Caenorhabditis elegans: one gene and its partners. The protein of the gene in region 1 purifies or fractionates together with the protein of each later gene. This does not show direct contact. Each region holds a gene or a part of one and is shown on either strand. Other genes may lie near its edges.

Region 1 (11,404 bases):
ATATGCTGCTTAGATGTTGAAATTACCTGATTTTCATAACGAGACCGCTGAAAAAGTTTTGAGGTTTTCAAAATTCAACTTTTTGTGCGAAAATCTCGACTTTTTCACCAAAAAAGTTGAATTTTGAAAACCTCAAAACTTTTTCAGCGGTCTCGTTATGAAAATCAGGTAATTTCAGCATCTAAGCAGCATATGTATCATGTTTCAGAAAAAGTTTAGGTTTTGTATTCCCGTAATCCATCATATTACAATGCCCACTTTCACCGCTGGTTGCCCACTGAATACATAATTTTTTTACTTGAAAATTGTTTTAGCATCTGCGAAAAGTATTTATTTATCAGTTTTAATAAGAAAAAACGGGAAAAAGCTGTGAAAAACAAAAGAAAACAGGCGGAAAACAAAGCAAGATAAATGGCCGATGAAACTTGTCGGACCTCGGCCATGGCCTAGAAACCACTTTTCCTCGTCCCTCGTGAGGAAAAAGTTGCAGTGTTATAGGGTTAAATTGCTCCAAACGGCCCCAATATATTGGTGAATTTTTAGGTTTTTTTTTCTTGGAAAAAATAATTGTTTTTTGGCGAAAAATCGTATTTTGCTAGTTTTTCGAAAAAAAAATTTTTGGAATTTCCACAAAAAATCTTGTTTTTATTCTGGTTTTTTAAATGGTTTTTTTTCACAAAAAAATCGATTTTTTAAAAGGCTTTTTGCAAAAAAATTGAATTTTTTGGAATTTTGGCGAAAAATTGTTTTAAAAATTTATTTTATTTTATTTTTTATCAAAAATTTATTTTTTTTGGTATTTCAGTATTTTGACGGAAAATTGACTTTTTTTTGACAAAATATTACTTATTTTTTGGTTATCTTGGCAAAAATTTATTTTTTCGGAATATTGGTCAAAAAATTGATTTTGTTTTTGGTTTTTTAAATGGTATTTTGATTTTTTTTTCTTGGTTTTTTGAAAAAAAAAAAGATTTTTCAGTATTTCCACAAAAAATCTTGTTTTTATTCTGGTTTTTTAAATGGTTTTTTTTTTCACAAAAAAAAATCGATTTTTTAAAAGTCTTTTTGACGGGGTAGGTATTTAATAATATATTTAACGAAGAAGTTTTTTTTTTTAGGTTTTTGTTTACTAAAATTTTTACTAAAAATGGATTTTTATTTCAGTATTTTGATGAAAAATTGAATTTTTTGGTATTCTGCCAAAAAATGATTTATTTTTTTATTTTTTTTTTTAGCTTTTGTTTTTTTTTAGTGTTTTACTTTGACGAAAAACTGATTTTTTTGTTGGTTTTTTTTTGGTTTTTCGAAGAAACATCGATTGTTTTTTCTAAAAATTGATTTTTTTGGGTTTTTTTTTGTATTTTGAAGAAAACATTGTTTTTTTTTGTGGTTTTCAATAATTTTTTCTTCTAAAAAGTTTAAAAAAATGAAATTCGACTCAATTCGACATAAATAAAGCTGTTTTTTTTCAAAAATATACAAAAATAAAAAAAAATACACTGTGCAAAACACTTTTTAAAATTGAAAATTTGCCTTTTTTACGACTTTCAGCTGGTTTTTTGAGGGTTTTCAGGTACCCAACTGCAAAATTTCACGATTTTTTTTCTTTAAAAAAAATCCGAACTTTTTCAATTTTATTTCTTTTCATTTCTTTTTTTGCTGCATTATCTAATTTTATTAGATTCATAAAATTGAAAAGAGGCTACTGCGCACACCAAAATTTGTCGTGTCAAGACCAGAAAAACTGTATTTTTTTTGGTCGAAAAACGTCGATAATCGCGAAAAATTTCCAGTAATTTTGAAATCGAGGCTAAATTAAATTTATCCCGTACAAATTTTGATCGAAAATTTGAAAAAAAATTTAAAAATTTTTTTACCTTCCATTTTTTGACAAAAAATTGATGTTTTGTTGGTATTTTGACGAAGAAGTGATTTTTTTGTTTTTTTTTTGTTGGCATTTTGCCAAAAAATTGACTTCCTCGGTATTTTGACGAAAAACTGATTTTTTTGGTTTTTTTAAGATTTTTTGACCGAAAATGGATTTTTTTTGGAATTTTGATGAAAAATTGAATTTTTGGTTTTTCTTTTGCTAAAAATTTTTTTTTCAGGGGTTTTGGCATTTTTACAAAAAATTTTGCCCAAACTTTTCTTACCAAGCATCGAATTTTCGCATATGCTCAAATGAAAGCCTATGCAATTGTGTTTCACTTTTTCTTTTTTTATACTGCATTTTGTATTTTATTAGCTTCACAAAAATAAAAGGAGTTCACCAAAATTTGTCGTGACAAGACCAGGAAAACGGGCTTTTTACGTCGAAAAAATTTCCAGTAATTTCAAAATCGGGGCTAAATTAAATTTATCCAATACAGTTTTGGTCGAAAATTTAATTTTTACCTTCCATTTTTTGACACAAAATTGATTTTTTGTTGATTTTTTTTTTTTTGAAAATTTGTTTTATCAAGACCAGGAAAACTGTATTTTTTCGTCGAAAAACGTCGAAAATCGCGAAATTTCCAGTAACTCCAAAATCAAGGCTAAATTAAATTTATCCCGTACAAATTTTGATCGAAAATTTAATTTTTACCTTCCATGCACTCGCAATGTGAATCCAAATAAGTCAACACTTCTCCAGTAGCGACGGCAGCTCCACGAAGTCTTGCTCGAATCAATCCCTCACGCTTCTCCATTCTCAAAATCTTGACTTTTCCACCAAACTGTGACATGTATTCTTCCAACGGACGTTTCGTGTGATCCATATCCGAAAAATCATCAACCAGCACAACTTCTTCCAGTAAATGATCGGGAGTACGTTCAAGAACCGAGTGTACTGTTCTGAGAAGCACTGACCATGCTTCATTGTGGAAACAGATGATTACAGACGTTCGCGGCAGATTTTCATTGTATTTTTCGGTTTTACATCTGCAAAAAAAGAAATTAAATTTTTCCAAATATTGATTTTTTTTTCTTTGTTTCTCTAAAATTATTTTGCAGAAAAAATGCTTTTTTGTACAGAATTTTTTACTTTTTTTCCGTTTTTCTCTCAAAAATACAGAAAATTCGAGAATTTTTAAGTTTTTTTTTGAACTTTAAAATGTTTTTTAAGAATCAGAAAAAGATAAGAATTCCAGCCAAAAACTGCAAAAAATAGTCCACGTGTAGTACAAAATACTTCGTAAATCGACAACATTTTTGTAAAAGAAATTTCTAGGTTTTCCTATATTTTTTCTGATCAAAATGAGCAAAAATTTGAAAATTTTTTGGAATTTTAGCCAATTTTCAAAAAAAAAATCGTTTTTTTTCCGGAAAATCAAAAAAAAAATTGATTTTTTCTTTTTTAGGATTTTTTTAAATCGACTTCTCGTTTTTTTACAGATATTTGCAAGAAAATCGATTTTTCGATTTTTTTTAAAGGAAAATTATTTGGAATAAATCGATTTTTCGTTTACTTCAGTTTTTAGGGAAATTTAAAAAATTTTTCGATTTTTTGTTTTTTTTTAAACAATTGTTTTAAAAATTCGATTTTTTTTTCGTTTTTTTTTCGGAAAATGAAAAAACGTCGATATTTTCGATTTTTCGGAAAATCGAAAAATTTAGATTTTTTGTTCTTTTAGAACATTTTAAAAATTTCGATTTTTCATTTTTTTTAAGGCAATTCTTTTAAAAATTCGATTTTTTTTTTCGTTTTTTTTTTTCGGAAAATCAGAAAAAACTTCAGTTTTTTAAATGAAAAACAAAAAAAAAATTGATTTTTTCTTTTTTAGGATTTTTTTAATCGACTTCTCGTTTTTTACAGATAATTGCAAGAAAATCGATTTTTCGATTTTTTTAAAAAGAAAATTTTTTGAAAAAATTCGATTTTTCTTCTTTTTTTCCGGAAAATCACAAAAAAACTTCAGTTTTTTAGGGAAATTTAAAAAAATTAATTTTTCGATTTTTATGAATTTTGGAATAAAAAAAAACCCACTCAGCATCAATATTAGTTGGCAAAGTTCGATGTACTGATATCATATCAGATGCGTATTGATTAAAAGCGTTGTTGAGCATTCCCTTGTCGTATTTTGCCTTTTCTTCGGTCGATAGTTTCTGAAAATTAGAAAGAAAATAAAGTTTTTTTTTTTCGTTGATTTTAAAGGCAAAACATCAAAATTTCGAAAAAAAAAGAACTAATTTCCACTAGAATCTTAGATTTTGGGGGCCGAAATCGGCCTAAAATGACCTAGAGTGGCTAAAAAATGATCGCGAATTGGATAAAAATGACTAAAAATTACCCAAAATCACCTAAAAATTACCTAATGTGACCAAAAAAAAAAATGAAAATTCGGCCAAAAATTACTAAAATTTCTAAATTTTGCTAAAAATACCTAAACGGACCAAAAATAATCAGCAGTCGGTTGAAAATGACTACAAATTACCGAAATTGGCCAGGAATGTCGAAAATATTTCATATTTAAAATAACTTGATATTTAAAATATTTTAGACATCATTTTTAATCATTTTTGGCCAATTTTCGAAAATTTCCGAGCACTGAAGTGATTAAAAATGTCTGAAAAATGACCAAATTTGGCCCAAAATAGGCGAAAAATGACCAAAAATGACATAAATATTTAAAATATTAAATATTTTAGAAATTTTTATTCATTTTTGTCCAATTTCAGTCATTTTTGGTGATTTTGGACCAAATTTGGTAATTTTTTAGTCTTTTTTTTAATGACTAAGCATAATCGAAAATCGGCCAAAAATGATTAAAAATGACCGAAAATATGTACCGTATTTCTTCTATTAATATGGCTGCAATAATATTTTTCGATGGTCTTCCGCTTGCAATACTAATAGGGAGTGCAAGACTATTAGGGAGTGCAATACTAATTTTCAGAACATTTTCTGACTTTGAGCTTACTAGTTTTTTTCCTGAAAAAACTCGAATCTTATGTGAAAATTCAGAAAATTTGATTGTAATTGCAACAAAAAGGTACAATAACTTCAATTTCATAGAAATTTTACCAAAATTGTTGCAAAGTAGGCAAAAAATGTTGTTAAAATCTCAAAATTAGTAGGGTGGGTTTGTACCAAAAAAAAAAAGTAGATGCAAGACTATTAGGGAGTGCAACACTAACTGCAATACTAATTTTCGGAGGGTTTTCAAGGAGCAATACTAATAGGGAGTGCAAGTCTAATAGGGAGGCCATATTAATAGAAGAAATACGGTATATTATATACATTTTAATCATTTTCGGCAAATTTCGGTCATTTTTAGTCATTATTGGCCAATTTTCGGCAATTTCCGAGCGCTGAAGTGACTAAAAATTTCTGAAAAATGACCAAATTTGACCAAAAATGATTAAAAATCGGCCAAAAATGACAGAAATTGACCAAAAATGACCAAAAATAACCAAATTTGGCCTAAAATTAACTAAAATTACTTAAAATGATGGAAAATCAGCCAAAAATCAGTAAAAAATGACCGAAATTGCCCTAAAATGATTAAAAATCTATACGGAATATTTTCATTTTTAAAATCATTTTTGGTAATTTTTGGCCAATTTAAGTCATTTTTGGCTCATTTTTTTCGCAATTTTGAGAATTTGAGCACATTTTGAGTCCACAAGTTCAAAGAACCGTTATTCCTCAAGAATAATCAAATTCTCACAGTTTTATCGACGACAACTGCCTTTCCAAGCTCTCCGGCTTGCGCTGCGTCTCCTTTTTTATAAATCGGATCGTTCGGATCGACCATAAATTTTGGTTTGGCCAAGTTCCCGCCGGGTTGCTCTTCTTCTTCCACTTTATTATTCTCTACGACAGGTTCCGGCTCAATCGGCGGCCCAAATCCTTGAATTACGTCTTGTTTCGCGGCTTTCGGGTGGAAATTCGCCTCCGCAATTTTATTCGCGAGATCGTTATTTGATCCGATCTGAAAATGGGATTTTAATCACATTTTTATTTTTTTTATTTTTGATTTTTGATACCTGGCTACTATCATTGCTGGTTGCTGCGAAAAAAATCAACGAGCAAATCCAAAAAACTGGAACCAAGAGGAGAACTTTTAATATCGCCTTTTTCTTGAATATAATCATTTCTCAGCGGCAAAATCGACCCGTATCTGCAAAAAAATTAATTTTTGATTAATTTAATTGGGAAATTTCTCAAAATATTTCGATTCAGCTCAGTAAAAACCAGTAAAAACTAAATTTTTCGACAAAAACTCCAAATAAGGACACATCGTCCACGTGTAGTACACGGGTGGTGACCTAGAAACCGACAACTACGTACTACACGTGGACAAAATCGGTGGAACATGTTTTTGGCAGGAATATGATGGAAAAACTATAATTTTCAGGAAAACTAATAAATAGCAACAAAAAAATCAATAGAAATTCGAAGAAAAATCAATATTTTCTAGTTTGACCTCAAAATGATCAAGTTTTCAATGTTAAAACAGATTTTTTTAGTTAGTTTTTTTCTTTTTTTTTCTTTAATATTGTTTAATATGACACTTTTCAGATTTTTGCGTCAGAAATACAGATCCAGGTCTCGACACGACAAATCCTTGTACTCATTGAAGGTGTGCGCCTTAAAATTAATTTTTCAGCTTTTTGAAATTTACTTTAGATATTTGATAATTTAATAGATTTTCATCGAAAAACTAAAAAATCAATAAAAATTCCGCAAATGAACAAGTTTGAAATTACAGTACTCTTTAAAGGCGCACACCTTTTTTCAAACATTTGTCGTGCCGAGACCCAGGGTACCGTAACCTACCGAAAATCCTCCGTTTTATGCTTCAATATCCCTCAATTTTGATAATATAAGTTTGCTGCCTGAAAAAAAACGAATTAAATTGTGAAAAGTAGTAGTAGTATTGGAAATTCGAGTAAAACAAGGAAATTTATAATGCAAACTTTTTCGGACCCAAGGCATACTGAATTCAAATTCACATTAAAAATTTTAGGTTGACGTGGACAATGACGATGAGCAGCAGCATGCAAGGCATGTTAACGATAATATTTGAACAGTTGGGAAGGGAAGGGAAGAGGGTGTATAAGAAGAGAGCATAGAACAGAACCACTATCTTTTTTAGCTTCTCTAATACCTCTTACTCTCTCTCTCTCACACTATATTTACTTTTTTCGGTGGTTTCGGTCAAGTTCAAATGTGCTCGAGAACTGTAATGTTTCAAGTTCGCAATGAGTCACGATTTCGATTTTCCGTGTATCCTAGAAATTTTGTGAGAGAAATAGTTTTAAATGACTCCCTGATTCCGAATATCTAAGTGAAAAAATTCTAAAAAATTTCCCTGATATTATATTTCAGCTTAAAATCGCGATGTGTCGATTTACGAGATTTTCAATATCTTCATTTTCGTCGCTTTTTTCCAAAGTTTCGTTTTTTAAGGTCAATTAAATATTATTTTGCCAAAAAACTAACAAAATTTCCATTTCTTAGGTCAAAACTCGACGAATTCCACGGAATTCTGGCTGTTTGCCGAACTAGGCCATTTTGGGTCGGAGAGATTTTGTGTAGATTTACGGCGCGTTGCGTGTCGCGTCGCGGCTCGTTTTAGTTGTAAAACTGAAGTTTGCTGTCCGTGAGGAGTACACGACACTTTTCCACGCGCTGTCCGGCAGGCGATTATCAATGGAGCGCGAAAATTCAATGAGAAATGCCCAGAACCCCGTGGACGAAAAATCCAAATATATGCTTTTCCCGCCTAAAAATCACAAATTTTGTTAGTTTTTTTAATGATATAACAAAAAAAGTGACCTTAAAAAAAGCACAGTTTTTTTTTTCACTTAAATATCGGAATCAGGGAGTCATTTTAAAATTGTTCTAAAAAGATTTCGATACTCCACATTATAAAATTTTTTACGTCAAAAACATCATTTCCCCCTTATCATCCATCTTACCATTCACACCCATTTTGCTCAAACAGACGCCCACGCCCTTTGCATACTTCTCAAATGGAAACTTCTATTGATAGTGAACCCAGAAGACAAAAGAGAAACGTGGTCATAACTGGGGGGAGTTGTTTGCTGGTTAGAAGAGCCCCGGACGTGCTCAATTGAGCATGACGAATAGGTTGGAGAAGAGAATGTCAGAGACACCTACTTGTAGTGAGAGGGGAACGAAAATGTCTATAGGCTAGGCTAAACTACAAATCATCTTATTTTTTCGATTAATGAAGAAAAAAAATATTTCGAAAAGGGCTTATGTTTGCAATTTTACTACAAAAATTCTGGAATTTCTAGGAAAAATGAGAACGCGAAAAAAAATTATTTGAAAAATTCATTTGGCGCGGTGAGACCCTTTCCAAAATTACTTTGTGCGAGCGCCTTTAAATTGATCTTAGAAAAATTGTTATTGTTTTCTTATAGTTACTAAGTAAGTAAGTAAGTTCTACTCGGTCACAAATTAGCTATAAAAATCTGTAAATTATAAGAAAATTTGAAAAAAAAACATTATACAGTAATCTTAAAGGTGCATACACAATTTTAATTCGAATTCCCGCCGAAATTTTTCTGAAGAAATTTGAATTCCCGCCAAATTTTTTCCATAGTAATTTGAATTCCCGCAAAAATTTTTCCATAGAAATTTGAATTCCCGCCAAAATGTTTCTAGAGATATTCTAATTCCGCACGTGGTGTTAAAGTGTCTTATTTTGGTTCGATCTACAAAAATGCGGGAGAAGAGACGCAGACTTTTCAATTAATTTCTAATGGTTAAGAACGTGCTGAAGTCACATTTTTTGGGGAAAAAATCCCCCATTTTTGTAGATCAAACCGAAATGAGACACTTTGACACCTCGTGATTCCGGCCAACTTTTTTCTGAAAAAATTTGTATTCAGTTCCAAACAGGACACCAGAAAAGCACAGAAACCACGTAGCACCACACAAAAAAAACAAAAAAGGAAACAAATGAAAGCCATCTCACTCGACGACCCGCTTTCCGTTTATGCTAAAAAAATAAAACAACGTGTCACTTTTTTGCCTCGCGTCCCTTATTTTTATGTCTGACATGCTCTCTCGTCAATTTTTGCAAACATTGCAATTTACGAGCGTATATTGCGGAGCGGTCTCCTGCACCAAATACATTGTACAGTTTAGCAGAAACGAGGGAAGTGGAAACTTTGGAAGGGGAGCTATAAAAATTTGGGTACATTTGCGCTTTCACGCGGTGTCAGAGTGTCTCATTTTGGCTTGATCTACGTAGATCTACAAAAAATGCGGGAGATGAGACGCAGAGTTTTTAACTGATTTCGTATGGTTAAGAACGTGCTGACGTCACATATTTTAGGGCGAAAAAATCCCGCATTTTTTGTAGAGCAAACCGTGATGAGACAGCCTGGCCGCACATGCGCTTTCAGAAAAGAAAAGTATGAACCAGAAAGGAAAGAATTCCGTATTAGTCATTGGATGCTTTATTGTACAAAATTCAATGGAAGATGGATACGGTACTTTTTTTTGAAACACTAAAATTAATTTCCACAAGTCATAACTTATTAAAGGCACACGGATTTATTCAGATGGGTCTCGACGCGCAAAAAGTTTCCTTGTTCATTTTACTTGTATTTTTCCGTTTCAGCGAATTTTGCGCACCGAGACCCATCTGAATAAATCCGTGAGTCTTGAGATTACGATATTTACTCTTACTATTCTTTCAAATTTTTCAAGAATTATCGTAGAATTGAGTTTTTGTTGCGTATTTTAGAAGGTACAGTAACCCAAATTAAAATTCATAAAGTTAGATCGTGGCGAGACCTAAAACATAATGCACCTTTAAACTGATAAATTGCAATATTAATTTTTTGAATTTTTTTTGAATATTTTTTTTTCAAAAATTTAAATACAAAATTTGATGTTCTCGTGTTACCCAGTTGCGAAAATTTTTCATCCGGGTCTCGCCACGAAACTTTGCATCTACCGAACTCACAATTTTCTGTTTTAAATTAAGCTTCCGCTCAATATAATAAAAATGCAAAAACTTATGGTAGCTACAAAATTTTTTTCGTTTCAAGACCAAATACCACAAAACTCACAAAAAAGGATTACGGTAGATGAATGGAAATTATTAACAAAAAATTATCACAATGGAGATTATCACAAAATCAGAAACCATATACTTCGCCACATCATGTATGAATATTATTGAATTGATTCAATATATGTGGCGGTGCTGTGGGAACTGAATAAAGAAAAAAAAGTACAACATGCGACAGATTTTGTGCAGAAAAGAAAGTGGAGAAGAAGGAACAACAAGAGAATACTAAAAACCACATGTTGTTTCATAAATTTCAAAGCTTCAGTATTAGTTCGGGGGAGGGGGGGGGGGGAGCTCAGTGCAGACAGCTGAGTAGACCAGACCTTAATCTATCAAATGGAGTGGAAAATTAGAAAATATAGGTTTTCAAATTGCAATAGTAGACGCGCAAAATATCTCAAAGCGAAAACTACAGTAATTCTTTGAATAACTACTATAGCGCTCGCTTGTGTTGGTTTTTGCAGGAAAATCATAGAATGACTACTGTAATTTTTTTTTGTATTTTATCATTTTCATATTACGGGAAAATAAAATTATGAGAATGCATATTACACAACATATTTGGCGCGCAAAATATAACTACCTATATCTCGTAGCGAAAACTACAGTAATGCTTAAATGACTACTGTAGCGCTGGTGTCGATTTACGGGCATAATTTTTGAAATTAATTTCTTTCCCAAAAGTGACAGGGATTCTCCATTTTAATCCGTTTCTTTGTATTATTTTCTAATTTTTTTAAAATTTCAATATTCTATCAAAAAATAAGCACGGCCTGTAAACCGGTACTTCTGGCCTAGAAAAAAGCCTGAAAAATAGAGACGGTCGAAATTTTTTTGTTAAAAATATTGAGTTGCTCAAAAATATAATTTTATATTTTTGTTGTGTAGTTTTATATATTTTATGTCGACAAAGTATTTGAAAATTTTGAAAATTACATGTTTTTTCGAATTTCTTTTAAAAAAATTGATAACTCCGTCAAGTTTCGAAATTTTCGCTTGTTTTAGCGTATAATGAAAGGTTTTTCTATATTTGTGTCGTCGCTTACTAGCTCAAATTTCGTGCCAGGACCCAAAATTGCAGACATCATTATACGTTTCTCAAAGCTCTCAGAGAGCTTAATTTAATTTTTTTAAAGGCAGATTTAAAAAATTCGAACTAGTATTACGGGGACACGAAATTCTGAGATTGCGTATTACACAACATATTTGACGCGCAAAATATCTCGTAGCGAAAACTACAGTAATTCTTTAAATAAGACTACTGTAGTGTCGATTTACAGGTTCCATTTTTGAAATAAATATCTTTTCGAATATTGATATATTATTTTCTTATTTTATGCTTGATTTTAATATTCTATCCATAAATA
Region 2 (10,647 bases), 5.8 Mb from region 1:
CGAACTATGTCGCAAATCAAGAGATTAAGATAAACGGAAAAAAACCTTTTTAATATAGACTGAAAGCGCAAAAATATTAAAAACTTGCACAAAAAAAAAGACTAAACATTTTGGTATATTTCATAATTTTTTAAACAGTTTTATTCGATCATTGCTATCCATTTTAAGCCAAATTTGAAAACTCTACCTTAAAATAAACGTTTCTACAGAGTGATCCCCAGTTTCCGACTTATACAACGAAGCATCAAGGCAGAATAAAGTTCAAATGCAGATTGCTATGGCTTCTCAACAAGGAAACATTTATGAAAAGAGCTAATAAACCTCATCTCGCCAATATTGTGGTAAAACAAGCACACATGGAAGCTGTTCCGCCGAAACAGAATGTTAATCAAAAGAAACAGATGAAAAATCAGGAAAAAAACAAAAACGCCAAACCACTGATGGATATCAAATTTGATGAAAAAGCCAGATCATTCAAGCAAAGAACGGGAGAAGATTACAATGGTGGTTTTGATATTTCGTCGAACTATCAAGGTTCGGAAGGATCCGGAGGATATCAACATATCGGAAATACTTGGTAAGTCGTGATTAAAAAACTTTACAAGTTCGGACAACAGGGCTGGGGAAAAAATTACAAAAAAATTTTAGGTGTTGATCTTGGACCAAAAAAATACGAAAATCAAAACATTTAAATTGGTTTAAAAAAACCAAAAAGAAGTAGAGTCTATTAAAGATTTATAGATTTCGAGAAGACTATTAAAAAACCACATTTTTCTTTTTTTAAAAAATTGCAAATTATGAAAAGTGTTTAATGTACTTACTGAAAGTGTTTTTTTGGGATTTTTGTGTCAAAAATTAAAAATTTATCAGCCCTGTTGACAATCGAGCGATTAAAATAAAGAAAGCAATTTTTGAATAAAAAATTATTAATTACAAAATTTCAAAGTATAATTTCAGGCCTAACACCGAGAGTCAATGGAATTACGATCCTTCAACAAATGGATATTCGACTTTCCTTGCATCAACTCCAGACACTTCTACGACTTATCAGCCATATCAACCATCAGAATATGCCAATTTTTCTCGTCAATTGGAATCTTCGTCGAGTTCTGTTCCTGTATATGGTGGAGCTACGGATCCAACACAAACATCAACATCTTCTGTCATTTCGTTTGGTGTTGCAGTGCACGAACCAATATCTGAATCCTCGGCATCTGCTTATGATGATCCAACAAGAAACCATTGGAACCCACAATCTGCCACGAGTGACTATTCAACCGTTCCAACTTCTGGAACTTCCAATGTTTTCCCATCGTACCAGACATCAGAATATTCTTCTTTTCCAAATCAAACTCCATCTTCTTCTTCTTCATATCAACAGTCTTCACAATATACTCCGATGGTTCCAGATTTGATAAATCAAGCAATTAATGGTTACACAACTCCACAATATAATCAACCGAATCAGCAAGTAAATCAAGATTTCAACACGAATCAATTTTCCGCTTCTCTTGCTTCTCTCCATTCACAACCTTTGGAAGCTTCCGAAGATGAACTTTTGAGACAAAAAAGACTTATGGAAATTGAGCAAGAGCTTCATATGATCAACGCGAAGAAAATGCATATGCAAATGGAAGCTGAAATTCGGCATCGAGAAATGGAATTGGCAAAGAGGCAGCAATTGATGGAGCTGAGGGAAAGAGAGCTCAGAGATAGAGAATGTTTCGAGAATGGTAGAACTCATGCGGGTCATACAGGGTACGTTTTTGAAATAATTGAACAAGTCCTTTTTTAATACTATCCCATATTCCTGTTTTTTTTCATATTTTTCTGCCTTCTCTTTTGAAGGATAAGTTGATATGAGAGATTCCACTAAATTCCCAATATATTCGTCTAATTTTTTTGAGATGTAACAATCAATTGATTTTTCTTTGATTATTTAATTGAAATTAACCTTCGATTACGATCACAGTTTTCAACTTTTCATTGTTTCTTTCGAATTCAGAAACATCGGACAGTGACCTCTAGTTCTGAAGTAACTGAATTCGTTCTGGCTAATCATTGAAAGACTCTGAACGAAAATATTTGAAAATGGGAAAATTGTGGCTCAGAATGTTATAATCGATCGTTTGAGATTTCTAATCGCCATCTGTAAAGCTCTGAGATACTCGTTTAGAATTACATCAAGCTTAGGCTTTGTGAAACATTTTGTGTCCATTCACAAAAAAGTTTGAGGAAATATATTTTGTTTTCTACTTTTATTCCCCCTATTCAACCCCCCCCCCCCCCATATCTTGTAGAATTTCAGATTAACTGATATTCTATTATCCCCTCTTTTCAGCCAGCACAACTATGATAATCGAGAATACAGTTCCCATCACGAATCTAAAAATCCATCTGTTGGCGGCAACTATTCTTCGACTTCGCGGTCGATAAGCATCAACGAGGATCCCGCTGCTTCTCACTATTATGGACAACGAGTCGAAAGAAAGAAGAGACTGGGAGGAGAATTAGCGAGACGACAGGGAAGAGTCTACGAAGAAGGTACAGACAAACGATTTCACATGATGACGCGTTTTCTTTCTTGGATTTTCGATTTTTCTCTCTTTCATAATGTTTTTTGGTTATTTTTGCAGTCAGTATTCAAATCGTAACAGAGGGTTTTTCCAAAAATTACGATTAGAACTTCTGACGCTAATAATCTTCAAATTTGACTATTTCTACTCCCCATCATTGGACTTCCACGTAGGCGTCAAAATGCCTGCCTCGCGCCTCAAACCGGTGCCTTCTGCTAAAATACACATGAATTTAATTTTTTCATTTCTCAATTTGATTCACATTAAATTGATTGAAATTACAAAATATAAATTCGTAAAGTAATGTCAGAATGCAGAAAGAGGCGAGAGGCTGGAAGGTTTCAGGCAGGCACCTAGACCTTCAAACCACGCATGCCTACCTACCAAGATGTATAATACCTGTTCGATAATTTAACGATTTTTGAAGCATAAAATCAAAATTTGTTGGTTTTAATTACTGGGCTGAATATACTCATTCCTGATTCAAATAATTCCCAGCTGATTCCCCAAATCTTCTTATTTCAAATATCCTCATACTTTCTATTTTCAGTTTCAAGCCCAGGCCCATTGAAGCGATCGGCTGATCAAAGTAGAGCAGGAAGTATTCAACCAGGTAATCAAACAAAAAACTTTTTTCAATCATAACCTATAGGTCTATAGTTGCAAAAAAATCGAGTTTTGATGCAAAGTTACAGTACCCGGTCTCACGCCTTTCAAGAGTACAGTAGTTCGCCACCCCCAGTTATTTAATACTTTATCTGCCTTTTCATTGACATTGCTCTTAAAATTTCTTTGAAAACAAATATTAAATAAAATAATTTTTAAAAGTATTTGATGTGATCACATCAAAGAAACGAGATAAATAGCAAGGAAAATTCGCAACTACAGTAATCCATAAAAGTTCATAAATGTTTCTGTCGCGCCATGACCGGATCCAGTAATTTCTTATCAAAAATGGCAAAGTGGTAATACACATATTTTTTTCAGCTGAAGGTCCCAGCAGGAAACAACGTCGTCGTAACAACAAAAACGTTCAAGTAACGGTCAATATGGAAGATATCAGTGATGACGAAGAAGTTTGATTCACAATTGGCTGGAAAACTTTGTTTTGTTCGAAATCAATTCAATCGTAGAATCGTTATTGGAAAATCTCGTTCTTTTTTAATTCAATTTAAGTTTTTGAATGAAGTTTTACTCATAACTTCCGTTTAATTTTATTTGTTGTTAATTTTCTAATCGTCAAAATATCGATGAATATATTTATTTCTCATAGTAGTGACCAACATTTCAGTCACTCGAAAAAACAATACTTTCAGGAACACAGAATGTCAGAAACTTGGGAAGCGTTGCGGAAGAAAGCCCGAAGCACAGAAAATTCCATCGATGTCAAGCTCGTCTCCCTGAATAAATTAACGGCTAGCTCTCATGGTAAGTATTACCAAGAATTTTACGATTTTATCCTCAGAAAATACGATACCGGGTCTTGACACGAAACATTTTCATAAAATACAAAAAAGTGTGCGCCTTTGAAGAGTACTGCACTTTCTGAATTGTGTTGATGCGGAAGTTTCAAAAAAAATATATGTATTTATTTGAAAAACCCAAATATTATATATTCTGAAAAAAAAACTTTAAAAAAGAAAAAGAAACTAATGAAAAAACCAAAAAGGGCATTTATAAAGAACATTTTCGTGTCGAGACCGGGTACAGTATTTTTGGCGTTTGAATAACCAACTTTCGAACATGTCTCTCAGAAAAATATTTAATAAACATGTTTCCTATTGAAAAAATATTTCAGGCGGTTTTGACATCGACGAGAAAACAGTTTCCTCAAGACAAACGAGCTTCAAAACAGTGACAACAGAAATCGAAGGATTGATAGAGCAATTGACAAATATCAATGATGATGTTAGTTTATTTTCAATTTTGTTTTTAAATTCGTCAACTTCAGATGAATGACGTAGCTGGTGCTCAATCCTCGGCATCTTGGGCTAATAATCCAGCCATTCAACACACACTTCGACGACATCGAGAAATTCTTCGAGATTACGGTAGTGAGTATCGACGTGCAAGAGATAATGTTGATCAGGTATTACAGAGGTATGAAAAATACTTTTTTTAAATTAAACAATACGATATTATTCAGAGAACTCTTGTTGAGCAGTTCAAATGAAAATCGTAATAATCCTATACTGAACAACAGGGCTCGTGGATATGATATGTATTTGAAGGTATTTTTGGGAAGAATTTCAAGAAAGTAGTACTAATTAATTTAATTTCAGGAGAATGACCATATAAACGCTTGTGATCGATTGTTAGATGAACAGTTAGAAATGGCAATGTCAACGAAAGAGAATATGGCCAGACAGGGAATTAATCTACGTGGAATATCAACTCGGCTTCATCATATTTCAAGTAATTTATCTTTAAAAGGGAAACAATTAAAGTAAATCTAAGTATTTATGAACATTTCTGATAAAAATGTTCCTGAAACACCCGATCTTTTTTGAAATCGTCAATCTAGATTAATTTAGACCTAATAAACTTGAGTTCAAATTTCTTGCAATACAGTTTTTTGACAAAAAATCTTTAAAAAAAAACAACAAAAAATTTATTTGAAATTTGGACCGAAAAACAAAAGTTAGAATTTCTCCAAAAAGCCGAAAAAATTTCAAAAAAAAATTCCTCCTTTCAACTGAGACTCAACATTTTTGAAAAACAGTTTTACAAGCTGCATAATAATTATCAAAACAACTTTTTTTAGAAAAATATCCTGCAATTAACAATTTGATGCAAAAAATCAAAACGAAAAAGCAGAAGAACACACTGATCCTTGCTGCCGTCATCTCATCGTGCCTTATTTTTACAATTTTCTGGATTATCAATTAATCAGTTTCAAATATCAAAAAAAAACTCAAAAACTTTTTCGAACTCCGATTTTCGTATTTTTCGAAGAAATTTAACAATCGGCAGTCGTAACTTTTTATCAAGTTTTCGAGTTGTTATTACTTTGTGTCAATGAAAAATAGAAACTGAATGATAAGAATAATCGATTTTTGTACTATTCCCTTGTCCCTTCATACAACGCACACCACTTTCATTGTGATATTCCTCACCGTTTTTCTAATTTTTACTTGTAAATAATTTTCTCGTTTTGTAATCTTTCGAGTATAATGGAGTTCTTGGCTTTTTCGTTTTTTTCTCGATGTGAAACAATTGGGTATACATATTTATGAATTAAAGTATTATTTAAAGATTTTTTTGAAAGTTTACAGTTGAAAGTTTAATTCTATAACTTTATTTGTTCATTGATTCTGGATGATAAAATTTATTTATCTAGAATTCAGATGACCCTCCGTCCATTTGTGTGTCCATCAATTCTGAATGCCGATCTTGCATCATTGGCTTCTGAATGCAAGAAACTTTTAGCAGCTGGAGCAGATTGGTAAGGTGATCTTTAGAAATTCTGAATAGTTTTGACAACTACTTTCATATTTAAATGTCCCTTTAGATTTCAAAAATCTAAATGGGAACGCACAAAAACCTCTTCTGAAATCAACATGGAAACGTACTCCACGGCCAATTGGAAACGCTCCGACCCCCCGAGATTACGGTCTCGTTAGGTATTTGGCCACAAAATCGCAAATTGAAATTGTTTTCATCTTCAAACACAAATTGGCAGGACTAATTGAAAACGCTTAAACTATCAATGTCAATACCTAATGAGACCCATGGTTCGAGGGGCGGAGCGTTTTCATTTAGCAGTAAGTAAGTAACGTTTCCACTTGGATTTTCAAAGGATTTACTTTCTGCGTTCCCATAGTATCCAGCTCCCAACTTGCAGGCTTCACCTCGACGTGATGGACGGTCACTTTGTACCAAACCTCACATTCGGTCACCCTGTCGTTGAATCTCTTCGTAAATCTCTTGGTGCTGAACCATTCTTCGATGTTCATTTGATGGTCTCTAATCCTGGACAGTGGGTTGAACCGATGGCAAAAGCTGGTGCCAGCCAGTTCACATTCCATTATGAGGCTGTAGATGGTGATGTGGCAGTCAGTGAATTGATCGAAAAAATCAGAAAAAGTGGAATGAAAGTGGGATTATCGGTCAAACCGGGAACTTCTGTTGAGCATATTTTGAAGTAAAATCAAAATTATATTTCAATCTAGATTTTAAATTAAAAAACTTTTTAGACATGCTAATCATTTGGATAATGCTCTTATCATGACTGTGGAACCAGGATTTGGAGGACAAAAGTTCATGGAAAACATGATGGAAAAGGTATTTATTTTGGTTTTTATTTGATACGAATAAAATTTATGGCTTTCAGGTTCGCACAATCCGTTCAAAATATCCAAATCTGACTATTCAAGTTGACGGAGGAGTAACACCTGAAAATATTGAAATCTCTGCTCAAGCTGGAGCCAATGCGATCGTGAGTGGAACTGGAATCATCAAAGCTGCAGATCAATCTGTCGCCATGACAACAATCAGAAATGCAGTTGAAGCTGCTATTTCGAAGTGCTGATTTTCTTAATTACTTGAATATTGTTTTGAATTTTGAAGCTCATTTTTTCAGAGCTTTTTGAGGTTGTGATGTTAATAGTTAGTAAATGATTGTCAATTAAAAAATTCAAAGCAGCATTTATTTATCTATAAAGTTCAGATGGGCTCTGCAGTTCCTAGCTTCGGGGTCGGAGCAGGTGTCTGAAAAAAGAGCATTACAAAACATCATGGACCATTCTTCAGTTGCTTACATTTTTAACACTTTCCTTCTCCTTGCTCGGAGTCTTCTTATCCTGATTTGATGGCAATACTCCAGTACTTCCAATTGTATCTTTACTCGGAGTCTTTCGTGGTTCGATATTTCCTGCCTCTTGGCTCATTGCAGTATTCAACGACGGCTCCTTGCTTCTTCCTCCAGCATTTGCAGTCTTTGTAGATTGCTTCGGAGTCAACATGATCTCACGAGACGGCTGCTTACGATTCGGAATTGGAGGAGGAGAACGTGGCAATGTCTTTTTCTGAAAAATTGGTTGTACTTTTGCTCAAGATCTTGGAGTACTACAAAAGCTAAAAAATATTTCGAAAAATAAAAAACGAACCAGATCAGTCTCACTCTCCTTTGGTGTCTTCTGTAAGCTGAGCATGGCCGATTTTGGAGCAGGCTGAAAATTGATTGAAATGAATGAAAACACTCGAGTGAACATACAAACCTCTTCAATAGTTCCAAGTGTCATAGTCTTCGATTTACGAGTATCTTCATCTGAAAATTGATTTCGATTATTTGCAAGAAATAGACAGACACTTCACCAGTCCCTTTCCTTCTGCCTACCTAATACTTACTTCACACCTGCCTGCGTACGTGTCCACCTCATCCCTACATCTTACGGCTTTGCCGACTTGCACAACCCCCCTCAATACCTACTCCCTGTCTATCTGACCACCAGGGCAACCAAGTTGCTGGTTGCCGAAAATTGGAGCGTATGGCAACTAAACAATAACCGAGTTCTGATTCTTACCTCCCATCGTGTCATAAACACGTTCAATATCAGATGGTGGAAATGTGACATCTTCTGGATATCGATTATCTTTTTTTCCTGGTTTTGTTTCCTCTGAAATAATGAATTTTGGAGAGACAGATACAGAGAAAGACATACGTTTTTGTCCATTTGTCGAGTAGTTCACATTGACAGAACCCAAATGATTAGGATGACAGATTTGTTTGCAGATTTCGATTGGAAGGAGAATTTGCAACGCCTGAAACTAGTAAAATTAAATAACTTTTTATGAAAACTTTTCTATCATAATTTGGGGCATTGACCAAAACCAATTTTTTCTAAAAATAACCTTATCGAATGTTTATTTTTGTATCGGAACATTATAGAAGTTCGAAACTACAGTTTATTCGTTAGTTTTTCATCATTTGACTTGAGAGTCGTGATAGTACTTCAGAGACTCTTCGGATATCTACAGTAACCTACAAGTGTATTGTATGTGTGAATATAATGTTTTGTAGAAGTATCCAAAAGAGAGGTGTTCAATTCACAACTATCGAAAAGGGCAATTTCTGAAGAGTTGAACTTGCCTCGTCAATCAAATCGATGATTGCATTATCCAAATCCTGTATCGTACTCCATAGTTGAAATGCGTTGAAAACCGAGTAAATGGTACTCAACAACGCGATGAAGCAAAGTGCAGAAGCTACAATCCATAATCCAAGTGCCAGTTTATTATAATGAAAATATTCACACTGGTGTTGCTTGAGTAAGTTATCGATCGTTGTTGTCTGAAAATCCGATTAACATGAGAACTGCTAATGAGGTTCCCAGCCACGATGCAACTAGATTCCACTTCAAATTAAACGTGTCAAGTATTAAGAAACCATCGGTGCATGAGAATGTCTACTTTCTGGCGCGAAAATGGCGGCAGGAGAGATTCTTCGGATATCTAGAGTAATCTAATTGTAAGAACATGCGGCGATGAGAATTTAGGTACCTTCGCTACGAGATATTCCCGCGCCAAAACGGTAGGCATTCTCATGATCTCATGGTCTCTTAATAATTTCTCTTATTTTCTTCTGTGGCATTTTTGAGTCCTAGACTCTTTCAAGTACTATATGTGTCCCCATTCACTCCACCTTTAAGATTCACAAGATTGAAAGTTTCACAACTTACCGAAATTATTGCAGTTGTAACATTTGAAGAATTGTTCATTTTTGAATAAAATGAAGCAGTCACTTCGAGGAATGAAACACTAAATGTGAAACACTACATGGCCAGAGAAAATTTGACCTTTCAAAAGATAAATATTTATACGTGAATTTTGTTTTAATTTTTTGCATATAAATCAAAACATTCATTTATTAAGTAAAAATATATAATTTGTAGGTTAAAAAAACAACAAACAAAAGTTAAAAAAGGGGCTCATTCATATCAAATCCATCATCATAGTGATCAAATTTGAGATCAGCTCCAAAATCTTCATCATCGTAATCTACGAATTCGCTGTCGTCTCGCTGGAAAAACGATTTTTAACCGGTGACTTTAGAGCCTATATTAATGTAATGTAACTCAAGCTGCATTACTGCTATCCTGTTTCTACCGTAACACTCACCGTAAACTACTAAATAGATTCATTTAAAGTAATGATGTTTTTGATACATATTTTTAACGGGATAGTCAGAGTGTCTTCGTTTTTGAAAGTATTTTTATACAGAAATAAAACTAGGAAATGCTAGTGACGTTAAATTTCCAAAACCTTGTATAGTATATTTGTATAGTGACCAGTATCATAATATTATTTGTACCAATCAACGAATAAATTGTTAAAATAACTACGATCATACCTCAACCATCTCCAACCATTGTGCATTGTGCCATTTGAATCTCTCTCCAGCTATCCGTTTTGCCCATTCTTTTGAATGTTCACCCATTATCAAAAGGGCATTATCGCAAACTTCTCGAACCACTGCGTTTGCATCGTGCATCAAATCGATCATATGGGCTCCGAGAGCTGAATCTTGAGTCATCAGGCGAGCAGATAGTTCCTTTGAAAAATTTATATGAGAGTTGAAAAAACTCTAAAACGTTATACCTTGTGCTTTAAAAATTGCAAGAAAACGTAGAGAAGTTGCACAACAAACTCATCATCAATTTGGCATGCTGAAAAAAAGATTGCGATATTTTTCAGTAATTTATTTGTATTCTCGATACACCCAAAAAAGATCAAAATGACACCAGTAAAACACTTCAAAAACGTTAGATTTTAAAAAAGATTTAGCTGAAGATTTGTTAATTTGCCAATTACTTCCAAAAATATGTACTTTTTGAGTAATTTTGAACATTTTTACATGTTCGATTTCCTAGAATGTTCAAATACAATTGAAACACAACTAGTTTCAATAATTTCCATTTTGTAATTTACCAACTGGCAAAGCTCCACCTTTAAATCTGATTGTGAGGAAAAATGAACTTTTATGTTTTCAAAAGTTACTGGGGTTTTATTATGAAACAAACTCTTAAAAAATAACTTAAATTTATGAACGTACATTGTAATAACTGCACAA
Region 3 (10,402 bases), on another chromosome or scaffold:
CCTTTACCTTTTTTCATGTGGAAATTCAAACTCAGCGACCCCTTTTACCCCTATTTATGTGGAAGCTAGACAGATTCCGCGAAAATTTGAATTTCTGTGCATTTTGGCGTAGGTTTGGCTGAAAATTGCGTACTTTTGGGGCTACAGTAACTGGAAACACTCGAAATTAGCTTTCGAAGCGCGGAAAACAATTTCCGGTATTAAAAAAAGCCGCAGAATTCGATTTTCATGTTCAAAAGATTTGAATTTTGAGTTTTTAACTCAAAAATGCAATTCTCAAATGGAATTTGAATTTTCTACCAATTTTTCTCTTCGAATTTGGGCTCAGCGCACCTTTTTACCCCTATCTAGACGTTTTTCGCGTGATTTTGAGTTTCTGTGCATTTTGTCGTAGGATCCGATGCCCGGACGAGAAATTGCGTACTTCTGGAGCTACAGTACCCCAAAAACTCAAAATTAACGCTAGAAACTCAGAAAAAAGCCCTGAGGGTGGAAAATGACGGAGAATTCGAATTTCTTGTCGAAAATACTTGAATTTCAAGTTTTCAACTGAAAAAATCTTTAAAAATGCCATTTTCAACTGAAATCTAGAGTTTCCACCAATTTTGCTCAACAAATTCTAGCTCAGCGACCCTTTTTACCCCTAGCGCGACGGTTTTCGCGTTATTTTTGAGTTTCTGTGCATTTTGGCTGAGGATTCGGTGCCCGGACGAGAAATTGCGTACTTTTGGGGCTACAGTACCCCAGAATACTCAAAATTGGCGTTAGAAGCCCAGAAAAAAGCCCCCGGGAGTGGAAAATGACGGCGAATTCAAATTTAATGTCGAAAATACTGGGATTTCAAGTTTTTAACTTGAAAAAAATTTCGAAAAACTGAAATTTTCTACCGGAATTAGAATTTTTCACCAATTTTCCTCATCGAATTTGAGTTCAGCGATCCTTTTTACCCCTAGCGCGACGTTTTTTGCGTGATTTTAAGTTTCTGTGCATTTTGTCGTCGGATCCGGTGCCCTGACGAGAAATTGCGTACTTTTGGGGCTACAGTATTTCGGAAAATTTAAAAATATGATTTTTTAAAGCATTTCTCACCCAAAATCTCAAAACTAACGCTAAATTTCCAAAAAAAAAGCAAAAAATGCCTGGAAATTTAAAATTTTCAAATTTTCAGGTGACCTCTGTCTCTGCCGGCAACAGCTGTATGTCTGCAATCAATGAAGACGGCCGACTATTCATTTGGGGAGAAAATCGATATTCAAGCTTAGGCCTCGGACATCAAAAACGTCAATTATTCCCTTATCAATTATTTCTGCCGGGAGATGTACGAAAAGCTGCACTTGGACCTGATCATTCTCTGTTTTTAGTTAATTAATATTGATTTTTTATTGATTTTCTATATTAAAATTGGATTTTATTTATTTTTCGCTATTTTTTATTGATTTTCGGTGCTTTTTGCGTTGTTTACACACGCTTTTCATATCTTTTCACATGGTTTTTTGTTGTTTTTGGTAAATTTTCTCACTGATAAGCCTTATCAGTGTTTTTAAAAATAATTTTTGAAACCTAAAATTGAGTTTTTTGGGAGAAAAATGTCAATTTTTGGTTTCAAAAATTATAATTTAATTACTAAAAATCTAAAAATCGCCCTAGCAGCGCCCACGTGGTGTCAATCTGTCTCATTGCGACTCATCGCGAGAAAATGCGGAAAATTTTTTCAAAAAAATCGTGACGTCACAGAGGCGAGAGTGCAATAGAGCAGCTTTGCTGCCGATGGCCGCAATTTATTTTTTCAATATTTTTCTGCTTTTTATCGCATTTTCAATTGAATTTCAGTAGTTTTCAGATGAATTTTTCGAATTTAATTGTGTCATTATGTTTAATTCGTATTTTACTTCATACAATCGACCCAATTTTTCGTTTTTTCCGCTTAGTTTTAAGAATTATCGTGAGAGAACGGATTGTTGGGCGAATGAAGCCGTTTCATATATGTTCTCGATGAAAACGATAATGTTAATAAGCTTTACATGTACTTTTCGGTTCTATACTTTCTCAATCCGTCTTTTCCTTATCTAACCAGCGTTTTTTTCAGGGTTTCGTCCGTTTCCGGGCCTCAGTGAGCGCGGGCAGATCGGAGAGTTCGAGATCGTCGAGAGAGAGTGAGAAGTTTAAGTAGCTCACACAGGTTTGTGTTGAAATCGAATTGCAAAGTGAAAAGTACAAATTTTGAAGGCAACACGATGCATGGAAGTCGAAGAATCACACCAATCACAACCAGAACAACACGGCTCACCGTATTGGAATCACGAAGCCAAAGATTTTCCTCTCCATAGAAGGAAGTCGACGCCAAGTTCATCAAGAACCTCCGCTTCGAGGTTAGATATAGATCCGGGGATCTTTCTTTATAATAATCCGAAAATCCCTAAAATCAAATTTCCGTTTCAGGTTCTCGACTTCCACAATGTAAAATTCCAAGACTACAACGTTCTGACCGATCAGGAGCTGAGAGAAGGCGTCAAAATCTTCAGCTAATGGCCAACAATTCCACAAGTCTATGTGAAGGGAGAGTTCGTCGGCGGATGTGATATTCTCATTTCAATGCACAAAGATGGAGAGATTTCCGACGAATATGGGAAACAATAAATGCTTTTTCATGTTAAAAATAAAAATTTAGATTTTTTTACTCGAATAAATCATCCAGATTGTATTATTTATTCAGCAAAAAGTGCTCGGTAGGTTGGTCGAAGACGAGTGAAGGGAATTAAATTTCAATAAATAAATGGGGCTCATTTTTACAATAAAATCAGTGAAAAGGGGGTAATTGATAAAAAATCGAAATGTATCCTTATTTCCACAACTTCTTAATGGACATATTCTTCTTCTTAATGGACATATTCTTCATTCTTCTCCGAATCCTTCTGCATAACCTTTCCAACAGCCATCTCGAAATCCTCTCGTGTCACATGAATACGTCGCTAACGGAGCGCAAACATACCAGCCTCGAAACAGACTGACTTGACTTCGGCTCCCGATGCTCCAGGAATTTGCTCGGTGTCGAGGATGTCGATACGGTTGGTTGCCATGATAACCTGAACATATATATTTAGAAATTAGAAAGTTTTTGCATTTTCCCTACCTTAATACTCTTCTTCGTTGCCTCAAATCCATCGAGTTGATTGATCAGCTCGAGCATAGTTCTCTGAACTTCCGAATCTCCTCCACTAGATTCTTTAACTCTGCTTGGTCCGATTGGATCGATTTAATCCATGAAAATGATCGATGGAGCATGCTCACGAGCCATCACGAAGACTTCATGCACCTGAAAGCATTGTAAATGTAAAGATTATTATGTCGATCCACTTACCATTCGTGTTTATTCTCCAATAAACTTCTGCACCAACTCGGAGCCGGAAACTCGAATAAATGTGCACTCAGTGTGATGAGCAACTGCACGAGCTAACAATGCTTTTCCAGTTCGTGGTGGTCCATAGACCAGTTTTCAACAAAAAATTAACTTTAAAAATGACAAAAAGTTATATTTTAAAGGAATGAAAGAAAATAAAATAAAAATCACAATCTCTCGTAAATCCTGCCCGCTTGTCTGCATTTGCGCGTCAATTTATGCGCCGCGTGTTTGCGGCCAATACACCGAAAAACACCGATGAGACAGCTTGACTACACGTGAGCGCCGAGAAGCTTTTGCTCTGTGAGCTTCAAATAGGAAGCTATAAACTTTCGATTTGAAGCCCAACGAGCAGCTTTTCGGCTCTGCTGGGGCGCAGAGTTGCGTTCGGTGGCAGAAACTGGAAAATTCTGAAATTTTCTAAACTAATTTTCGAATTTCCTGCCATTTTTACCCCTAAAATCAACTTTTTTCGAAATTTGGTTCATTTTCTTGTAAGCTACAGTTTTGACGTACTTTTAGAGCTACAGTACTCCAAAATTTTTTTCTAATTTTTAAAATGTTTTTTAGTAATTCAGAAACGCGAAAATGTTTCCAAAAATCAATTTGTCTATAAAAATTGCAGAAATTGAAAAAAACTAGAAGTTTTCTCTATATTTTTTCTAGAAAACCAGAAAATTCTTTTTTTTTTAATTTTTGTAGCAAAATTTCTTAGGAAAATCCAATTATTCACCGAAAAAAAAATTTTTAGGCCGTCTAAACGTCCTTTTCGAATTTTTTTTTCAGTTTTTCTCAATTTTTGCCAAAAAAAATTGGATTTTTCAGTCAAAAATTCAAATTTTCACCTTAAAATTGCACAAAACCGCCCCAGCAGCGCCGAGAAGCTTTTGCTCTGTGAGCTCCAAATAGGAAGCTATAAACTTCCGATTTGAAGCCCAAAGAGCAGCTTTTCGGCTCTGCTGGGGCGCTGAGTTGCGTTCGGAGCACCAAACTCGAAAATTTGAAATTTTCAGCGTAAAGTTTACCGAAAATATGTTTTTGAAAAAAAATTCCGATTTTTCTGATCAAAATTTCGAGTTTCCCGCCATTTTACGCCTAAAATTAATTTTTTTCAAAATTTGGAGCTTTTTGTCGTGTGCTCCTATTTTTTTTAATCCAATTTTAACAAAAAATCGATATTTTCTAAAAAAAAAAATCCAGTTTTTTTCAGCGCCAACAAAAAATGGTCGTAAAAGCCGCGGGACTTGTGATCTACCGGAAGTTGGCGGGAAAAATCGAGTTTCTCCTGCTTCAAGCCTCCTATCCACCACATCACTGGACCCCACCAAAAGGTCACGTGGATCCAGGAGAAGATGAATGGCAGGCGGCAATTCGTGAGACTAAGGAAGAAGCTAATATTACAAAAGAGCAACTGACAATTCATGAAGATTGTCATGAAACACTCTTTTATGAGGTGTGTGTGTGTGTGTAAGAAAATCGATAATTTTTATCGATTTTTTGATGGAAAAATCGATAATTTCCGGCGAAGTATGATATATTCAAAATTTTCGAATTTTTTAATGAAAAAATCGATAATTTAATTTCGATAATCAATAAATTATCGTTTTTCCGATGGAAAAATCGAAAAAATTAAAAATTAAATAATATCCTGCGAAAATCGATAATTTCGAATTTTTCGAATTTTTAATAAAAAATCGATTTAAAAAATTTCGAAAAAAAATCGATATTTTCGAAATTTTCGATTAAAAACCCGAAAAATCGATAATTTTGTGCGAATTTTCGAAAAAAAAATAAATTATCGATTTTTTAAATAGAAAATCGAAAATTTTTTTTGAATTTTTTTTTTTTTTGAATTTTTTTGAATTTTTTAAATGGAAAAATCGATAATTTATTTTAGAAAATCAACAAATTATCGATTTTTCTAAAACTAAATTTTCATTGAAAAATTTTTTGAAAAAAATCTCCGATTTTTCACCAAAAATTCAATTTTTCTGCAATTTTGCGGAAAAAAACACGAAAATATCGATTTTTTCGGAAAACTTATCCATTTTAAGCTTTTTTTGGGAAAATTCGGGATTTTTCGATTTTCTGATAGAAAAATCGATATTTACCGGCGAAAACGAAAGAAATTTCCTTTTTTCGTAAATTTTGTAAAAAAAATTGATTTTTTTTTCACAAGACCCTGAAAATTCAATTTTTTCCAGGTTTTTACACTGAAAAAAATTTTTTTTTTGGTTTTGTGAAATGTATCGATTTTTAGGAAAAATGGCAAAATTTCCGGGAAAATTCTGGAAAAAAACGCAATTTTTCCGAATTTTGAAAGAAAAAATCGATAAAAAATTGGGTTTTCAGCGAATTTACATATTTTTTAAATCGATTTTTCATTTGAAAATTGAACTAAACACTAAAAAAAATCCCAAATTTCGCTAAATTTACAGGCAAAAGGGAAGCCAAAATCAGTGAAATATTGGCTCGCCAAGCTCAACAATCCAGACGACGTTCAACTATCTCATGAACATCAAAATTGGAAATGGTGTGAATTGGAAGATGCTATCAAAATTGCCGATTACGCTGAAATGGGCAGCCTTCTCCGCAAATTTTCCGCTTTTTTGGCCGGATTTTAACGATTTTTCACCGATAATTTCATATTTTTCGAAAAAAAATAATTTTCATTTATTTATTTAATGTAAACTTTTTATTTAATATAAATCTTTTCATACACAATTGTTCATGATGCTCTCTCTTTATCAAAAATATAATGCTCGTAATTATTAATGAATGCGTGTTGTCTCAGAGCCTGATAAAACAGATTTTTTTTCGAAAATTTCAAAAAGTTTTTTAGGGTTCAGAGATCAATTTTGAGTCCTCTAACTGTCCTTTTTTTTAATTTAGGCAAAAAAATAATTTTTCTGAAAACGTACAAAACCATCAATATTTGAAAAAGGGCAATTTTTTAAGGTTTAGAGATCAATTTTGAGTCCTCTAACTTAAAAAATAACCATTTTAGAGAAGTTTCAAAATTGTGATTTTTGCCGTTTTTTTTGCCATTTTTGCCACTTTTTTCTAAATTCAGCATATATAAATGTTACTCCTCTGAAAAAATTAAAAAGTCGTTAACTCTTCCGATAAACCAAATATTTATATTATATTCAAAAAAAAACACATTTAAAACATCGAATCAAGTAGAAAGAATCCATTTAATTATCTAAAATGAGCCATTTCTGGGCAATATGTTGAGCTTTTGCATCACCAATTGGTTGACGAATTCGAACTTTCGCCGACAAGAGACCACCAACTGCTTTACGGCCGTCCTGAAACGAGAAAAATTAGAAAATTTTACGAAAAATCTAATTTTTTATCGGAAATTCGAAATTTTCCGTTAAAATCAGTACGTTTTTGAAAAAAAAAAAAAAAATTTTGCCCAAAGAAAAAAAAAAGTACAGTCATTAGATGGCTGAAAAATGAAAATGGGCAAAAATAAAAAGTTGTCTAAATTGATTGAAAACGGGTAATTAATATATGCAGAATTCAGAAAAACTAGGTTTAACCCGTCAAAAAACATTAAAAATGGCAAAAAAGTGGCAAAAATCACAATTTTGAAACTTCTCTAAAATGGTTCATTTTGAAGTTAGAGGACTCAAAATTGATCTACAAACACTAAAAAATTGCTCTTTTCATAATTTGATGTTTCTGAAGAAAATCAATAAATTACAAAAAAAAATCGATAATCACCTTCAATGGAAGTGATTCTTCCATTTCAGCACTATGTTCCAGCTTCTCCAATTTCCATTCACAAGTGCCCAAAAGTTTGTCGCTCCGCATGAATCCACCTTTTTGGAATACCTGAAAATTTTGAAAAATTATCGATTTTTGGAAAATGTTTTGAAGAAAAAAACAATTTTTCGACTTTGAAAAAAATTATAATTGTATCGATTTTTTGGGAACATTGTCTCTCCCTTTTCAAACTTTTCAAAAAACATTTTGGCGGGCAGGAATTCAAAAAAATTTAATTTTTTGAAAACAATTTTCGAAGAGCTAAGGTATTGTAGGATTACTGTAGGGTTACGGTAGATTTGGAAAAATTCGAGTTTTAAGATTTTGAAGAAGTATTGGCTTGGAAGTTGGTGGGAGACAATTTTTTGGTGTGAAAAAATGTTGGTAAAAAATTCCAAATTTATCTAATTTTTGAAATTAAAAAAAATAAAAGTATCAAATTTCAATTTTATTGATTTCGTGATATACTTTTTTGTTGAAAAATTCAATGTTTAGGTTAAAAAAATTTTTTTTTCGAATTTTAGGAAAAATCCGTTTTTTTTTCTTGGAAAAAAGTAATATTACAGTGTTTTTGATTATTTGAAAATTTATTTGAATCAATTTCAATTCAATTTAAAAAAAAACCAAAATTCATCGATTTTTTGAAAAAAACAATTCATAGTTAAATTTTTTCTGAAAAAATTAAATTTTTCGAAATTTTTTTATAAAATTTGGGAAAAAAAATTTCTTTTCGAATAAAAAAAAAATCGATTTTTCAAATAAAATTTTTTAAAATCAATATTAGGAAAAACATATAAAATTTTCATTTTTTTTTCTGAAAATTTTCTGAAAACTTATCGATTTTATTCTTATTTTTTCAACAAATTTATCGCCTTTTAAAACATTTTTAAATCAATTTTTTCTCAATGTTTTTTCAAATATTCCATCGATTTCTTCTTGTAGATAATACCTCAAACTTGAGACCTCCTCTCTTAAAAGTTCTCTGTAGTTTGCTATTTCTTGATTTTCCACTTCCAATATTCAACATAATCGATTCGCCGAAATCCGGCGAAGCAGTTCCGGCAATTAATTTAGTTTTTCCAGTCTGTGGTAGATCATTGACAACTGCTGGGAATGTATATTTAATAAATAGATTTGCATGATGAGTTTCATATCCTGATGGAAGGGGCACGTCTCTGTGAAAAGAAAAAAAATATTGATTTTTTTTTGATGAAATTATCGATTTTTTCATCAAATTGGCAAATATTAGTCAAAAATAAAATGTTGAAAAATCTGTCGATTTAAAAAAAAATTGATTTTTCCATAAAAACTAACAAATGTTTGTAAAAAACAATATTTCTACAAAATTTATCGATTTTCAATGAAATTACCGATTTTTGGAATGAATCATCGATTTTTATGGAAAGTATCAAATTTTTGCAAAATTTATCGATTTTTCATCAAAAAAAAAAATTTTATGAAACTATCGACTTTTCCATGAAATTTTCGATTTTTCCAAAAAAAAAGTTATGGTCTTTTCATAAAATTAAATAATTTCTGTCAAAAATAAGTGTTTCTGAAAAAATTATTTTTTCTATGAAATTATTATTGATTTTTGGATGAAATTATCGATTTTTTAAATGAAAAAGTTTTTTCAAAATTTTAATTTCTGCAAAATTTATCGACTTTTTCTCTAAAAAATTTTCTCACAAAATTATCGATTTTTTTCGATGAAATTATTGATTTTTCCAAAATTTTGTGGAAAAAAATGTATTTAAAATATATTGTGGAAAAGCATTGATTTTTGGATTGAATTATTGATTTTTTTAAAATGAAAATATCGATTTTTTGATGTATTTAACGGTTTTTTCATTGAATTATTTTGATTTTCCGCGCTAAATTTATATTGATTTTTTAACATCAAATTATAAAATTGTCAAAAAATTTATTTTCAAGAAAATCGTCGATTTTTTAAAAATTTTTAAAATATCGACCTTTGGGTGAAATTATCGATTTTTCCATGAAATTATCAAATTTTCGTCAAAATTTATCGATTTTTTCTCTAAAAAATATTTGAAAAAATAATTATCGACTTTTATGAAATTTATCAAAATTTTTAAGTATCAAATTATCGACTTTTCAGTCGAAATTATAAATTCTCTGTAAAAATTCAGTTTTTAAAAAAATAATTTCTCTTTAAATTATCGATTTTCCAGTGAAAAATCAATTTTTCGTCCAAAGGTCGATATTTAAAAAATTTTTAAAAAATCGACTTTTCTTGAAAATAAATTTTTTTATTGGGTCGATTTTTTCAGTATTTTTTTTCTGAAAAATCAATAAAAATTTGAGGGGAATATCGATTTTTTCAGTATTTTCTGCGTGTACCTGCACGAAACAATCGTCAACTCGATGACGTCATCAGCCAAATCAGGAAATAGGTCAGCTGATGGAATCTGACGCATTTCGTAATGAAATTTGGGTACTTGAAGACCCCGTTTTGCGACTTCACGGACTAAAAGCAGGTCTTGTTTTGCAACTTTTCCCCATCCTTCAAACAATCGAACTTTTCCAACATCACCGAGACGCGTGAAACGCATTTGATTCGTTTCAGCCGATCGAACTTGTTCTGAAACAACAACATTTTTTTTTGGTTTGGAAATTCGAATTCCTCGTCATTTTTCACAATAATAGGCTTTTTCCTGGGTCTCTAACGTTAATTTTGAAGTTTGGGGTACTGTAGCCTCAAAAGTACGCAATTTTCAGCCAATCCTACGCCAAAATGCACAGAAACTCAGATTTGCGCGGAATCTGTCTAGCTTTCACGTACATAGGGGTAAAAAGGTGCGCTGAGTTCGAATTTGATAAGGAAAATTGATGAAAATTCTAATTTTTGATGTAAAATCGTGTTTTTTTTCTATTTCTCGAGTTTATTACAGTGAAAACTCAAAATTCAAATCTTTTAATTATTAAATTCGAATTCTCCGTCATTTTCCACCCCCAGGGCTTTTTTCTGAGTTTCTAGCGTTAATTTTGAGTTTTTGGGGTACTGTAGCTTCAGAAGTACGCAATTTCTCGTCCGGGCATCGGATCCTACGACAAAATGCAGAGAAATTCGAAATTACGAGAAAACCGTCGGGGTAGGGGTAAAAAGGGTCGCTGAGCTCAAATTTGACAGGTAAAAAAAATGGGGTAAATCGGGTAAATCTGAATTCGAATTTCTTAAGGAAAAAACACGAAAATTATGATTTTCAG

Evidence for each region.
Region 2: the proteins of gly-5 (region 1) and gos-28 fractionate together in Caenorhabditis elegans (co-fractionation; one large-scale study listed by BioGRID). This does not show direct contact.
Region 3: the proteins of gly-5 (region 1) and ndx-4 fractionate together in Caenorhabditis elegans (co-fractionation; one large-scale study listed by BioGRID). This does not show direct contact.

Annotation. Positions count from the first base shown.
Region 1 is NC_003281.10:13,182,807-13,194,210, reverse strand, and holds the start of gly-5 (Polypeptide N-acetylgalactosaminyltransferase 5), read right to left. Parts: upstream 6,820-11,404; 5' UTR 6,761-6,819; intron 6,102-6,760; 5' UTR 6,076-6,101; coding exon 5,968-6,075; intron 5,913-5,967; coding exon 5,649-5,912; intron 4,084-5,648; coding exon 3,965-4,083; intron 2,920-3,964; coding exon 2,585-2,919; intron 1-2,584. UniProt on the Caenorhabditis elegans protein: Catalyzes the initial reaction in O-linked oligosaccharide biosynthesis, the transfer of an N-acetyl-D-galactosamine residue to a serine or threonine residue on the protein receptor.
Region 2 is NC_003281.10:7,342,419-7,353,065, reverse strand, and holds gos-28 (Golgi SNAP receptor complex member 1), read left to right. Parts: upstream 1-3,890; 5' UTR 3,891-3,901; coding exon 3,902-4,004; intron 4,005-4,374; coding exon 4,375-4,484; intron 4,485-4,527; coding exon 4,528-4,676; intron 4,677-4,722; coding exon 4,723-4,807; intron 4,808-4,858; coding exon 4,859-4,991; intron 4,992-5,340; coding exon 5,341-5,465; 3' UTR 5,466-5,832; downstream 5,833-10,647. Other genes in the region: F08F8.9 (uncharacterized protein), read left to right, coding at 210-577, 958-1,758, 2,342-2,544, 3,127-3,189, 3,564-3,658; F08F8.7 (Ribulose-phosphate 3-epimerase), read left to right, coding at 5,924-6,021, 6,421-6,720, 6,773-6,860, 6,910-7,107; F08F8.6 (uncharacterized protein), read right to left, coding at 7,242-7,286, 7,337-7,603, 7,685-7,747, 7,796-7,845, 8,102-8,194, 8,240-8,339, 8,668-8,868, 9,257-9,295; kap-1 (Kinesin-associated protein), read right to left, coding at 9,493-9,597, 9,928-10,128, 10,176-10,243, 10,630-10,647. UniProt on the Caenorhabditis elegans protein: Involved in transport from the ER to the Golgi apparatus as well as in intra-Golgi transport. It belongs to a super-family of proteins called t-SNAREs or soluble NSF (N-ethylmaleimide-sensitive factor) attachment protein receptor.
Region 3 is NC_003279.8:13,788,358-13,798,759, reverse strand, and holds ndx-4 (Bis(5'-nucleosyl)-tetraphosphatase [asymmetrical]), read left to right. Parts: upstream 1-4,607; 5' UTR 4,608-4,619; coding exon 4,620-4,850; intron 4,851-5,835; coding exon 5,836-6,021; 3' UTR 6,022-6,121; downstream 6,122-10,402. Other genes in the region: W09G3.7 (Williams-Beuren syndrome chromosomal region 16 protein), read left to right, coding at 1,169-1,369; Y37H9A.5 (uncharacterized protein), read left to right, coding at 2,239-2,369, 2,440-2,461; ccct-1 (Coiled-coil and C2 domain-containing protein 1-like), read right to left, coding at 6,595-6,708, 7,130-7,240, 8,121-8,346, 9,536-9,776. UniProt on the Caenorhabditis elegans protein: Asymmetrically hydrolyzes Ap4A to yield AMP and ATP.